Arabidopsis thaliana: one gene and its partner. The protein of the gene in region 1 interacts with the protein of each later gene in a pairwise test. Each region holds a gene or a part of one and is shown on either strand. Other genes may lie near its edges.

What was found. The genes of interacting proteins can lie anywhere in the genome.
Region 2: the proteins of AT3G02330 (region 1) and MORF1 interact in a two-hybrid assay, tested with the Arabidopsis thaliana proteins (one study listed by BioGRID).

The regions. Positions count from the first base shown.
Region 1 is NC_003074.8:472,973-478,669, forward strand, and holds AT3G02330 (Pentatricopeptide repeat (PPR) superfamily protein), read right to left. Parts: upstream 3,691-5,697; 5' UTR 3,621-3,690; coding exon 909-3,620; 3' UTR 802-908; downstream 1-801. Other genes in the region: AT3G02320 (N2,N2-dimethylguanosine tRNA methyltransferase), read left to right, coding at 60-137, 233-520; AT3G02340 (RING/U-box superfamily protein), read left to right, coding at 4,060-5,289. UniProt on the Arabidopsis thaliana protein: Involved in C-to-U editing of mitochondrial RNA. Required for RNA editing at 8 sites in 6 different mRNAs in mitochondria.
Region 2 is NC_003075.7:10,843,552-10,848,094, forward strand, and holds MORF1 (multiple organellar RNA editing factor), read right to left. Parts: upstream 2,597-4,543; 5' UTR 2,535-2,596; coding exon 2,167-2,534; intron 1,949-2,166; coding exon 1,851-1,948; intron 1,762-1,850; coding exon 1,696-1,761; intron 1,610-1,695; coding exon 882-1,609; 3' UTR 851-881; downstream 1-850. Other genes in the region: PTAC9 (plastid transcriptionally active 9), read left to right, coding at 1-40, 159-223, 310-438; AT4G20030 (RNA-binding (RRM/RBD/RNP motifs) family protein), read left to right, coding at 2,811-2,946, 3,204-3,272, 3,363-3,469, 3,549-3,695; AT4G20040 (Pectin lyase-like superfamily protein), read right to left, coding at 3,797-4,543. UniProt on the Arabidopsis thaliana protein: Involved in organellar RNA editing. Required for the processing of numerous RNA editing sites in mitochondria. Binds to the mitochondrial MEF19 and MEF21 factors, two pentatricopeptide repeat-containing proteins involved in RNA editing.

The sequences.
Region 1 (5,697 bases):
ACCGTGTTTCATCTTACCAGGTCTTCTTTTTGATGGTTTTTTCTTGGGTGATATTGTAGGTGAAGAATCATCCCATAAAGGCGCAATCGCCTGAACAACCCGGTAGTGTGATCTTGTCCAAAGAACCATCACATGAGGTCTTTTGCTCGCTTTCTCTGAATTGTTTGAAACTGAATAATGTTTTTTCCAAGCCTGAATCTTTTCTTTTCGATTCTGTCTTGTGTTTGGACAGGTTGATTTTTCGCGTCACATTGGTTCGCTGAGCAAGGCACAGGCAAAGAAAGTAGCTCGTTTTCTGCCAAATCCAGAGAAGCATTGGGGTCCAAAGCTTAGGGCTGGTCGCCAGATTACGAGCAAACATGTATCTCTTATTGGTCATGAAGCAGTCAATGGTCATCTTAGCCAACACCATGAAGAACTTAAAGAAGAAGATGAAGAAGCAGAGCCAGAAGATAATGTCCAAGACAAGGTTGATCCAAAACGCCAGAAGACAGCAACAGATAATATTACCTCAACATAATAAGACAAATCACAAAAAGTTTTACAAAATAGATCAGATTTTGTCTACAGTCAGATTTGCCTCCTGATGAAGAACTCTGTTTTGTCTGTTGTTTCCTATATAATCATTTTTGGTAATACTTGAGACTTATGACCCATTTTTGTGATTCCTTCTGTTGTGATCTTATTAGTTTACTCATCTATAGCTTAACCGAACCAAACAGTAATTTAGTACCATGAAGAACTAAAAGAGGCAAAAGAAGCAATGTATAACAAGATATTGAAAGTAGATAACCACTTCTGATCATCATTAAATGAAGCAATATCATAGTACTTGAACAAACAAAACTACAACTATACAAACGCTGTAAACAATCTATTTGTTAAATTTACTTTTAATACAAAATTGTTTAGCAGTAACACCATTGGTCCTCTTCTTCTACTTCAACCCCACGCACGAAAGAAGAATCATCAAAAGGTTTCATTTCACTGTAAATCAAACCAAGCTCTTCGTAAATCTCTTCCCATCTAGGATGAGCCTTATCTCCAACGAGAAACACATGAAGCTCATCTTTTAGCTCAACCCAACTGCAACCAGGCTCCTTCTTAAGCTTAAAGCCTCTCATATTTCTCCTCAAATCTGAAACCTTTTCCCACATTCCTGCATCTGCGTATACATTTGATAAAAGTGTATAAGCTGAAGAGTCTTGTGGATCCAATCTCAACAGGGCAGCAGTTGCTTCTTCTGCAACCTCTACATTGTTTCTATGTATCGTGCAGACTCCTAACAGGGTTCTCCATATGACATCGTCTGCTTCAAATGGCATCTCTCGAATAAGCTCTAATGCTCTCTTGACTTTTCCGGATTTTCCTAATATATCTACCATGTTCGAGTAATGCGGTAGCTGAGGATCCAGGCCATAGTCTCTCTTCATCATATAGAAGTACTCGAGCCCTTTGTCGATCAGACCCATGTGAGCACAAGCTCGGAGTATCGATATGAAAGTAACGTGATTTGGTTTGATGTTTTCGAGTATCATTCTCTCAAACAGTTGTATAGCTTCCTCTCCTTTCCCATGATGTGCATACCCGCAAATCATGGCGTTCCAGGTCACGAAATCTCTTCTCAGCGACTTCTCAAACATCAATCTTGAATCATGGAGATCTCCACATTTCGAGTACATGTCAACGAGGGTGCTACAGATATACACATCAGATTGCAATTCTTTCTTGATGACCTGAGCATGAATCTGTTTACCTAATCCAGCGGAAGCAAGATTCGCACAGGTATCAAGAACTGTTGCATAAGTAAATTTGTCAGGAGTTATACCCATCTCCATCATCCGGGTAAAAAGCATCTGAGCATCCTCGCTTTGTTCCTTCATTACATATCCGGAAATAATTGAATTCCATGAAACACACATTTCCTGCAGTCTCTTATTGTGCATCTTTTCAAGCTCTTCCATTGTTCCCGAGACATTGGCTCGTTGAAAGAATCGACTATGTATCTTCTCCGCCTCTTCTATCATTCCACACTTTGAATACATATCGATCAGAGAGCATCCGACAGAGGAGTTTGAAGCCATTCCTGATTTGACAATGCTGGAATGGATCTCCATACCGTAACCTAAAGAACCACCAGTGCAAGCTTTCAATATGCTTCCAAAGGTAAACTCATCAGGTTCGATCCTAGAACGGAGCATCGAGACAAAAAGAAAAAGCGTTTCATATCCTTTTCCGTTCTGCTCATGTGCAGCTATAATCGCATTCCAAGACACAGCGTCTCGTCTTCTCATCTCATCGAATACACGAAAGGCTTCAGCCAGAGCTTGACATTTCCCATACATGTCGATAGCAGCATTTGCAACGCAAACATCTAGCGATAAGCTGCTTTTTATCGCCAAACCGTAAATCTGAAGCCCCTCTGAAAGTCCTTTCACCAAGGCACAAGCCCTGAATACTCCTGATAAACTTATCTCGTCGAAACCAAGACCCGATGACATGAGTCGGTGAAACAACAGTAGAGCTTTGAAACCATGTTCTTCTTGCGAATAACCAGTAATCATTGCGTTATAAGATTGCCTATTAAGATTTTCTGAGTTGTCAAACAAAATTTGAGCATCTTGCATATTATCACACTTTGCGTACATGTCCAATGTCGCCGTCCTCACTATACCATCTGCTGCAAAATCTGACTTCAAGGCATGAGCATGTAACTGACCGCCTAACCTCAATTCGGATAACGCAGCACATGACCTCAAGACGCTAGCGTAAATTGACTGGCTCACTCCAGCATTTACCTTTTGCATCTCCTTGAAAAACTTCAAAGCAAGGGACAACAAGTTATTCTGAACACAACCTGCGATTATAGCACTCCACGAGACAGAATTCTTCTCTGGTATACCTTGAAACACTCTAAGAGACTCGACAAACCTCTTGCCTTTTGCATACATATCCAACAACGCACTCGCAGCAACCACATCAGTATCACAACCCACTCGAACGACAATCCCATGAATCTGCATTCCTAAACTGGTATCCTCTAAAAAGGAACAAACTTTAAGAATAATTGCAAAAGTTCTACCGTCAAACTCAATACCTTCTCTCCCCATGTCAACGAAAACCTCGATAGATTTCAAACTCTCGCCGTTTTGCAGATACCCAGAAAGCATTGAGTTCCAAGACACAACATCTCTCACAGGCATCATATTGAAGAAAGAATTCGCTTTAAACATGTCATTACTCTTCGAGTAACCATTTATCATTTTGTTCCAAGAAACAACATCTCTCAGCGGCATTTTGTCGAACACCATAGAAGCAGACACGAAATCTCTTGAATTTGTGTAGACCTGCAGCAAACAGTTCAGTACGAATGTAGTCGGACGAAACCCAGATATTATCATATGAGCATGAGCTTGCTTGCCTAGCTCTAACGCTCCTTGCTTCGCACATTCCTTGAAAACAAACGAAAAGTTCGTCGTGCTAACTGAGTTCACTTGATTCAGAAAATCAGTGAAATAAGAAAAGCTTGGAACTCTCCGGTATGAAATTTTCTCTGTTAGACAACGATTGAATGAAACCACTGATCTGGTCATATGCAATAATCTGAGACTCTCCGCCATGAGTCATAACGAACTGAAACTCAGTGGTATCTATGGCGGGATTGAAACGATTACAATTGCTTCGGTTCGGTTCACTCGGTTTGAAAAATATATAAACCGACTGACTAGGCACTAGCTATATTAATCAAGCGGTTAACACGCCACGGGGAATCCAGTTTGGACTTTTACTATTCTATTAAATAATTAAAAAGCATTACCAGATCAACAAGGTCGTTGTAGTATAGTGGTAAGTATTCCCGCCTGTCACGCGGGTGACCCGGGTTCGATCCCCGGCAACGGCGTAATTTTTTCATCGTTTGTCTTAATCCACCTGCAAATACACGTCATCATATTATATCCTTTGTGTAGACGAAATCATACGATTTTTCCCTCTGAAATTTCCTTTTTCCTTTTTTGTCTTTTTTTTTTTTAATTAATTACTTTTCTCTGAGACACAGCAATGGCGTCGACGAAGCCCGATTCCGCAATCAACCTTGAAGAAGAGGCTGAAGGCGACGGTGTAGCCGTAGACGATCCGATTTTCATACCGGAGACCACGAACTTACTCGTCCGTTACTCGCCATTCGACGACAGGGACATCGATTGCAATCCTTATTTCCCTTTCACAGGCCCGATTTCAGATTCTGGATCAGGTTCTTACTCGGATTCTGAGCCCGATCCCAACAGCTGTCCCATCGATTTCTTCGATCGAGATTCTTCCGATGTTGACGTGGCTGAGTACTTGGAATCAGGAGGGCTGACCGCCGGTGATTATAATATTTGGGGCTTTTATGACCCCAAGGAAGACGAGGAAGAGGAGGAGATAGTTTTGGGGACTTCCGGGTCGGATCTGCAACCGGGTGATTCAGGGGAGCAAGGGCTTCGAGTGACCGGTATCGATTCAGATTCCGATTGTGAAGATGGCGTGTTTGATTTTATCTCTGAGGATAGTAGCGGGAATAGGGGAAATGATTCGGGTCGGGTCGAGGTTGGTACGGGTCTTCCTCCTGTGTGGGATCATCTCTTCGGAGAGGGAACCGTGTTGGCTGATGAAGAATGGGAGGAGGTGCAGAACGCGATTAACTGGACAGCTTTTAGTGGACCCGAAGATGAGGACGAAGAAGATGAATTGTCTTCACTATCAAGGGATGATGAAGAAGAAGATCATGAACTGGACTGGCAGGTTTTGTTAACTGTTAACAATGTTGTTAATTATATCGAACAAGCTGAAGGAATCATGCTAAACCCTGATGATATCGATCCGGATTATTACCTGTATCTATCTGGTTTGGATGAATTTGATGAAAATCATAGTGGACATTATGATGCTGATGCTATTCTTGGGCAAATGTTTGATGACGAGACTGGAATCAGGGGAAATCCTCCAGCAGCCAAAAGTGTAATTCAGGATCTTCCGGTTGTGGAGCTTGCTGTGGAAGAGTTAGACAAAGGGAACAATGTTTGTGCGGTATGCAAAGATGAAATGTTAGTGGAGGAGAAAGTAAGGAGGCTTCCTTGTAGTCATTTCTATCATGGAGAGTGTATCATACCTTGGTTGGGGATAAGGAATACTTGCCCGGTTTGTCGGTATGAGCTGCCTACTGATGATCTTGAGTATGAAAGACATAAGAGCTCAGAAAGGGGCGATACTGGTTTGGCAAGGAACGTGTTGCCGGGTAGATATAGTTAATTGAATATTTGAAGTGATCTATTCTTCAAGTTAATAGACATGGTTTCAGAGGCAAGATCCTTGAACCACTTTGTTTATGGTAAGCACTTATCGTGAATGTGATAATGTTTAAGTTGTATATATTCCTTTTGTTTTGTGAAATAAATCATGTTAAACTTTGAACCCTTATCTTGAAGTGTTTGTGAAGTTAATCCATCTTTCATAGTTGTTCTCGTTGAAGATCAATCATGGATTTATAACTAAGCTTCTTACTTCATTAGTTATTGACAACTCTTAAGCTAGTTTTGCATGATCTGGATAGATCTCTCAAGGTAACCTTTTTGTAATGACTTTTATTTTACAGACCCTGAGGTGCTACTTTGTTCTCTCAGTGAAACTTGTGCTTGCATTGTTGCAGAAATTCCAGAG
Region 2 (4,543 bases), on another chromosome or scaffold:
GTTCTAGTCCCTAAAGCCAGAGTTGTAAAACAACTTAAAGGTAAAGTTCCCAGTCATTTCCATGTTCCTATGCAACTATACAAAGAAAGTTGTTTACAGTTATGTGGCACTTGTTCAAGTATGTTTGTATAAACTGAAATCTGGGCTGATATGTGTAGGAGAAGAATCATGGAAGGACTTGGTTCAGAACCCAGATAAATGGTGGGACAATAGAATCGACAAGGTAGGATACCAATATCTTTTGCTCGGTTTTTCATCAATCTTTCCAAGAAACTGACCTATTGTCCCAATATCGTTTTTGTTTTGAAGAGAAATGCAAAAGCCCCTGATTTCAAGCACAAGGAGACAGGTGAAGCACTGTGGCTAAACGAGTCTCCTACTTGGGTATTACCGAAACTGCCACCAGTCAAGAAGAAACAAGAAAGTATTGTCTTTTAGCTTTAGAAACATTATCTCCATGTAAAGAGCTCCAAGTGTTTACAAAATTCATCATTTCTATTCAAAGTGGTCTTCAAAGTTCCGTTTGATTTTTGGTTAGTAGACTGAATACAGTAGCTACAAGTGTGGACGATTCCAAATGTCTCAGGTAAAGCAAGCATATTAGGTCTTAAAAGAACTTCTAGAAAGAGTGTTTCAATTTCACAAGCGCAACCAACAACGTTAACAAGCTCAACTTAAGAGAAAAAAGGACTAACTATTGTCTTACAAAGTAGAAAGATGACTAAATACTATTTACTGTAAAACTTAATAAAAGGCCTTTGACACTTCTCTCCTTATTCAGCTCAATTCACTGCAGCATGCTCTCTGTCTAGTACCTTCTTCCCTGTGGAAACTGAAACACAGGACCATCTCAGTAACAAATATGGGGAAAATGGGGTACTTTAATGCCTGATGAGGATATCAAAAAAGAAAGATGCAAGATTCATTATTGATCGAGATCTTACTTGGTCAGACCCGGGCTGGCCTGCTGGATTATTGTTGTTCCAGTCTCGATTCCTCTGATCTGCCTGTGGGAATGTCTGATTCTGCTCTTGTCCTGGTCCAGAATACCCCTGACCATAGCCAGGATTTCCAGCTCCAGGTGCAGGACCTAAGTTTCCAGCTCCAGATGCAGGACCAAAGTTTCCAGCTCCCTGTGGATTGTAATTCCTAGGTCCTCCTTGGTTGTAACCACCTTGTGGCCCTTGACTATAGTTCCCAGATCCACCTTGACCGTAACTGCTTTGTGTTCCTTGGTATGGAGGCACTGGAGATCCCTGGACTTGATTGTAACCTGCCTGATATGGAGGCACTGGAGATCCCTGGCCTTGATTGTAACCTGCCTGATATGGAGGTGGTGGAGATCTCGGGCCTTGGTTATAACCTCCTTGAAATGGTGGAGGCGCTTGAGTTCCCTGACCTTGTCCTGGAGTGGCATAGCCCTGTTGAGGACCATAGCTCCCTCCACCACCTTGCATTGGTGGTTGCTGACCATACTGTGTGTTTCTTTGGAAGTTTTGGGGACCACCACTTCCTCCTCCTGAACGGTCAAATCTAGGACGAGGTCTTGCTCTGCCACTCTGAATCGGTGGTGGCCTGTGTGTTATCACTCCATTCTCGTATTTATCTCCTGAAAACAAGAAACATAATTTTGTTGATAGAGTCCCAACAACAAATATCCAAAATAAGACCAGTTTGTAAAAAAAACCAGCTCACCTCCATACTCTTTGTTCTGGGGATCAATGTAGGAATCTGGCAAGATGAAAACCACTCCGGGTAGATCTGTTTACATATACCAATAACAGAGTCAATATCTGGTGAAAAAAGTTGAATTCAAAAGAAAACAAACATAAATGATTCGAACTATATACCCTTGAACTTTTCTGATTCTTGTTCAGTCATGATTGCTTGAAATCCTTGGTAAGTAGTTGTGCTACAAGCATACATCCTTTGCTTAGCCTCTTCCACGCTGACTCAACCATAAACACCAAAAATGAATCAATATAATCGTCTTAACCAATATCAATACCAGAAGAAGATACACAAAAATCAAAGCAGAGCTATATAACAGTGAATGGAACCCTAGCAATGGTAAAGTTCTCACATTTAAGTAACTTACTGAATGATTTTTGGACAATTTAGCCAAAAGCAACGAATCTAAGCAGTGACAAAAATTCATCTACTAACCTGATGCCAAGTCCTTGGGCGCAAGTTTCTTCATAAGCAGCGACCATTTCTTCTGGAGACTTAGGAGTTTCCTCTTTGGAGAAATCCATAGTGATAAGCCAGTGATTATAATCACATCCTTCGAACAACACAGTGTCTTCCGTGATCTCATCACCTTCTTTGTAAAGCTTGTACTGCCTCGTTGAAAACAGTCTCGCCGGTGCTCGAGTAGCTACTTCCGTCGAACGCCCTATAACGGATCTCTTTAACACCGCCGCCGACACAGAAGGGAAATCAGACGCTGGTGTGATCGAAGAGCTAATTGATCGGTTAACATAGGAAGTCGCAGTGAGTAAAGCTCGTCGGAGACGGTGAGATATCATAGCCATCGTTGCCAGAGAAATTATGAAGGAGTGGAGAGTATTCTGGAAAGCTTTGGAGAAATGAAATTAGGGTTTTTGTGTGGGTTTTACAATATCTAAATAAATAGTAAATTACTTTTTAAGTCCTTATTGTTTCAAATGTTTTTAGTTTCCGCCTAAAGTTTCAAATTTATCACTGGGCCAAAAAACTTAGGCCTTAGCTTTTTACTATACCGCTGTCGTTTTATAACTCTCTGTTTGTTTCTTCTTCTTCTCCCTCTCTATTTCCGGCGACTGTGAATTATGTGGTCGGCGACGTTATCTTTCCCTTCTTTTGTGGCTTCTTCATCTTCTCTACCTAATTACAGGAACCTTAGGTTTCCAAAGATTAAAGCTTCGCTCTTTAATTACCCTCTAGCGAGCAAAATCATGGTCAGAAGTAAGATTCAGATTATCTTTTGGTTTATATTTGAATTCGCTTCTAGCTGAGATTAGGACATGGTTCTGTTATTGTTCCAAAAGTAATTTATGATTCTGGTTTGATTGAAATTAGTTGATTTGAGTCAGGATTGTGACGGTAGTCATATGTGATAGCTCTAAGCTCTTGTAGCAATCATTAGTGAAGTTGAAGTTGGTTGTAACTTCAACTTGGTAATTACTCTACGGTTCTGATGTTTCTTCACTTTGAATTTGTAGATTTACCGTTTTCTACAAGTGAAGATTTTCTAAAGAGAGAGTTTTCAGCTTTTGGAGAGATAGCTGAAGGTATGTTTGCGGTTTCAATTTTACTCTGTTTTGTTGCTTTAAGGTTCAGTTTTATGGCATTGATATGTTCACTCTTATACTTCAAAACAGTTAAGCTTATCAAAGATGAGGCAATGAAGAGATCAAAAGGTTATGCTTTTATTCAATTCACGTCTCAAGATGATGCTTTTCTTGCCATAGAGACCATGGACCGTCGGGTAAAAGCTTCTTTCAATCACAAGTTTACATTTTTATGTCTTGAAATCAACCTAAATGTTTCCCATTCCTCTGTTGCAGATGTACAATGGCAGAATGATTTATATAGACATTGCGAAACCAGGTAAACGTGATTTCCAAGGACTGCCTAGGACTTCTGGTCCACCTGAGAAGTCGGATGAGCCAGAAGAAGCCGCTAATGATGAGGTTGCTGATTGCTGGTATTAGTTGTTAGTATCAAGCTCACCAAACTGTAACTGAACTTGTATAAATCAGATGTCAAATCATGCTTTCTTATTAGGAATATGATCAATGTGAAGAATGTTGTTTTACTGATAAGCAATTATTGACACGGTTCCAGTTACAGCTCTATCGGTTTCTACAACCACCATATTGTTGGAGACATTGGTCACTGCATTTGCAGGGATCTGTCCGGATTGAGCGAAAAACGAATGCTGGTAATGGTTTATCCGGTTAGGGAATACCAAAACAGGGGAAAAATCAGCGATCCATCGTGTTCCATTTGCGGAAACCATGGCCTTTCCGGTTGTTGATTTCAGCATCATCCCTTCTGCATTGTTTTGATCAATCACAACTTGATTAATATCATGAAACTCTCCTTCTAGCTTGACAATCGGGAAGTTGTTTTTGGCGGTACCGCTAAACATGTTGTTGACGATGTTTACACCGGAAATCTTCCCGTGTACCGATCTCAAGACGATGTTTGCATCTCCTAAGAACAAAGCATTGGTGACATGAACATGGACAGGGTCTTCTATGACTATACCTGTGTAATCAAGGTAACAATTATCTATCCTCGTTAAATGTGATTTCACTAGAATGCCAATGCCACCAAACCATGTAGCTTTATTGTAGCAATGCACACCCGTAACCATATTTGCACCACCATTCAAAGAGATACCGATACCAGCCGAGAAAATCACTACATCCGTAATGGCATTGTCGTTACTCGAGATATCGATTCCTGTCCCAGTAAATCCTCTTTCTTCTCTGTCTCCTCCTACCGTTGAATGTTGCCCCAAGAAGGAGTTTGAAATGTATGTCTCATGACCTCC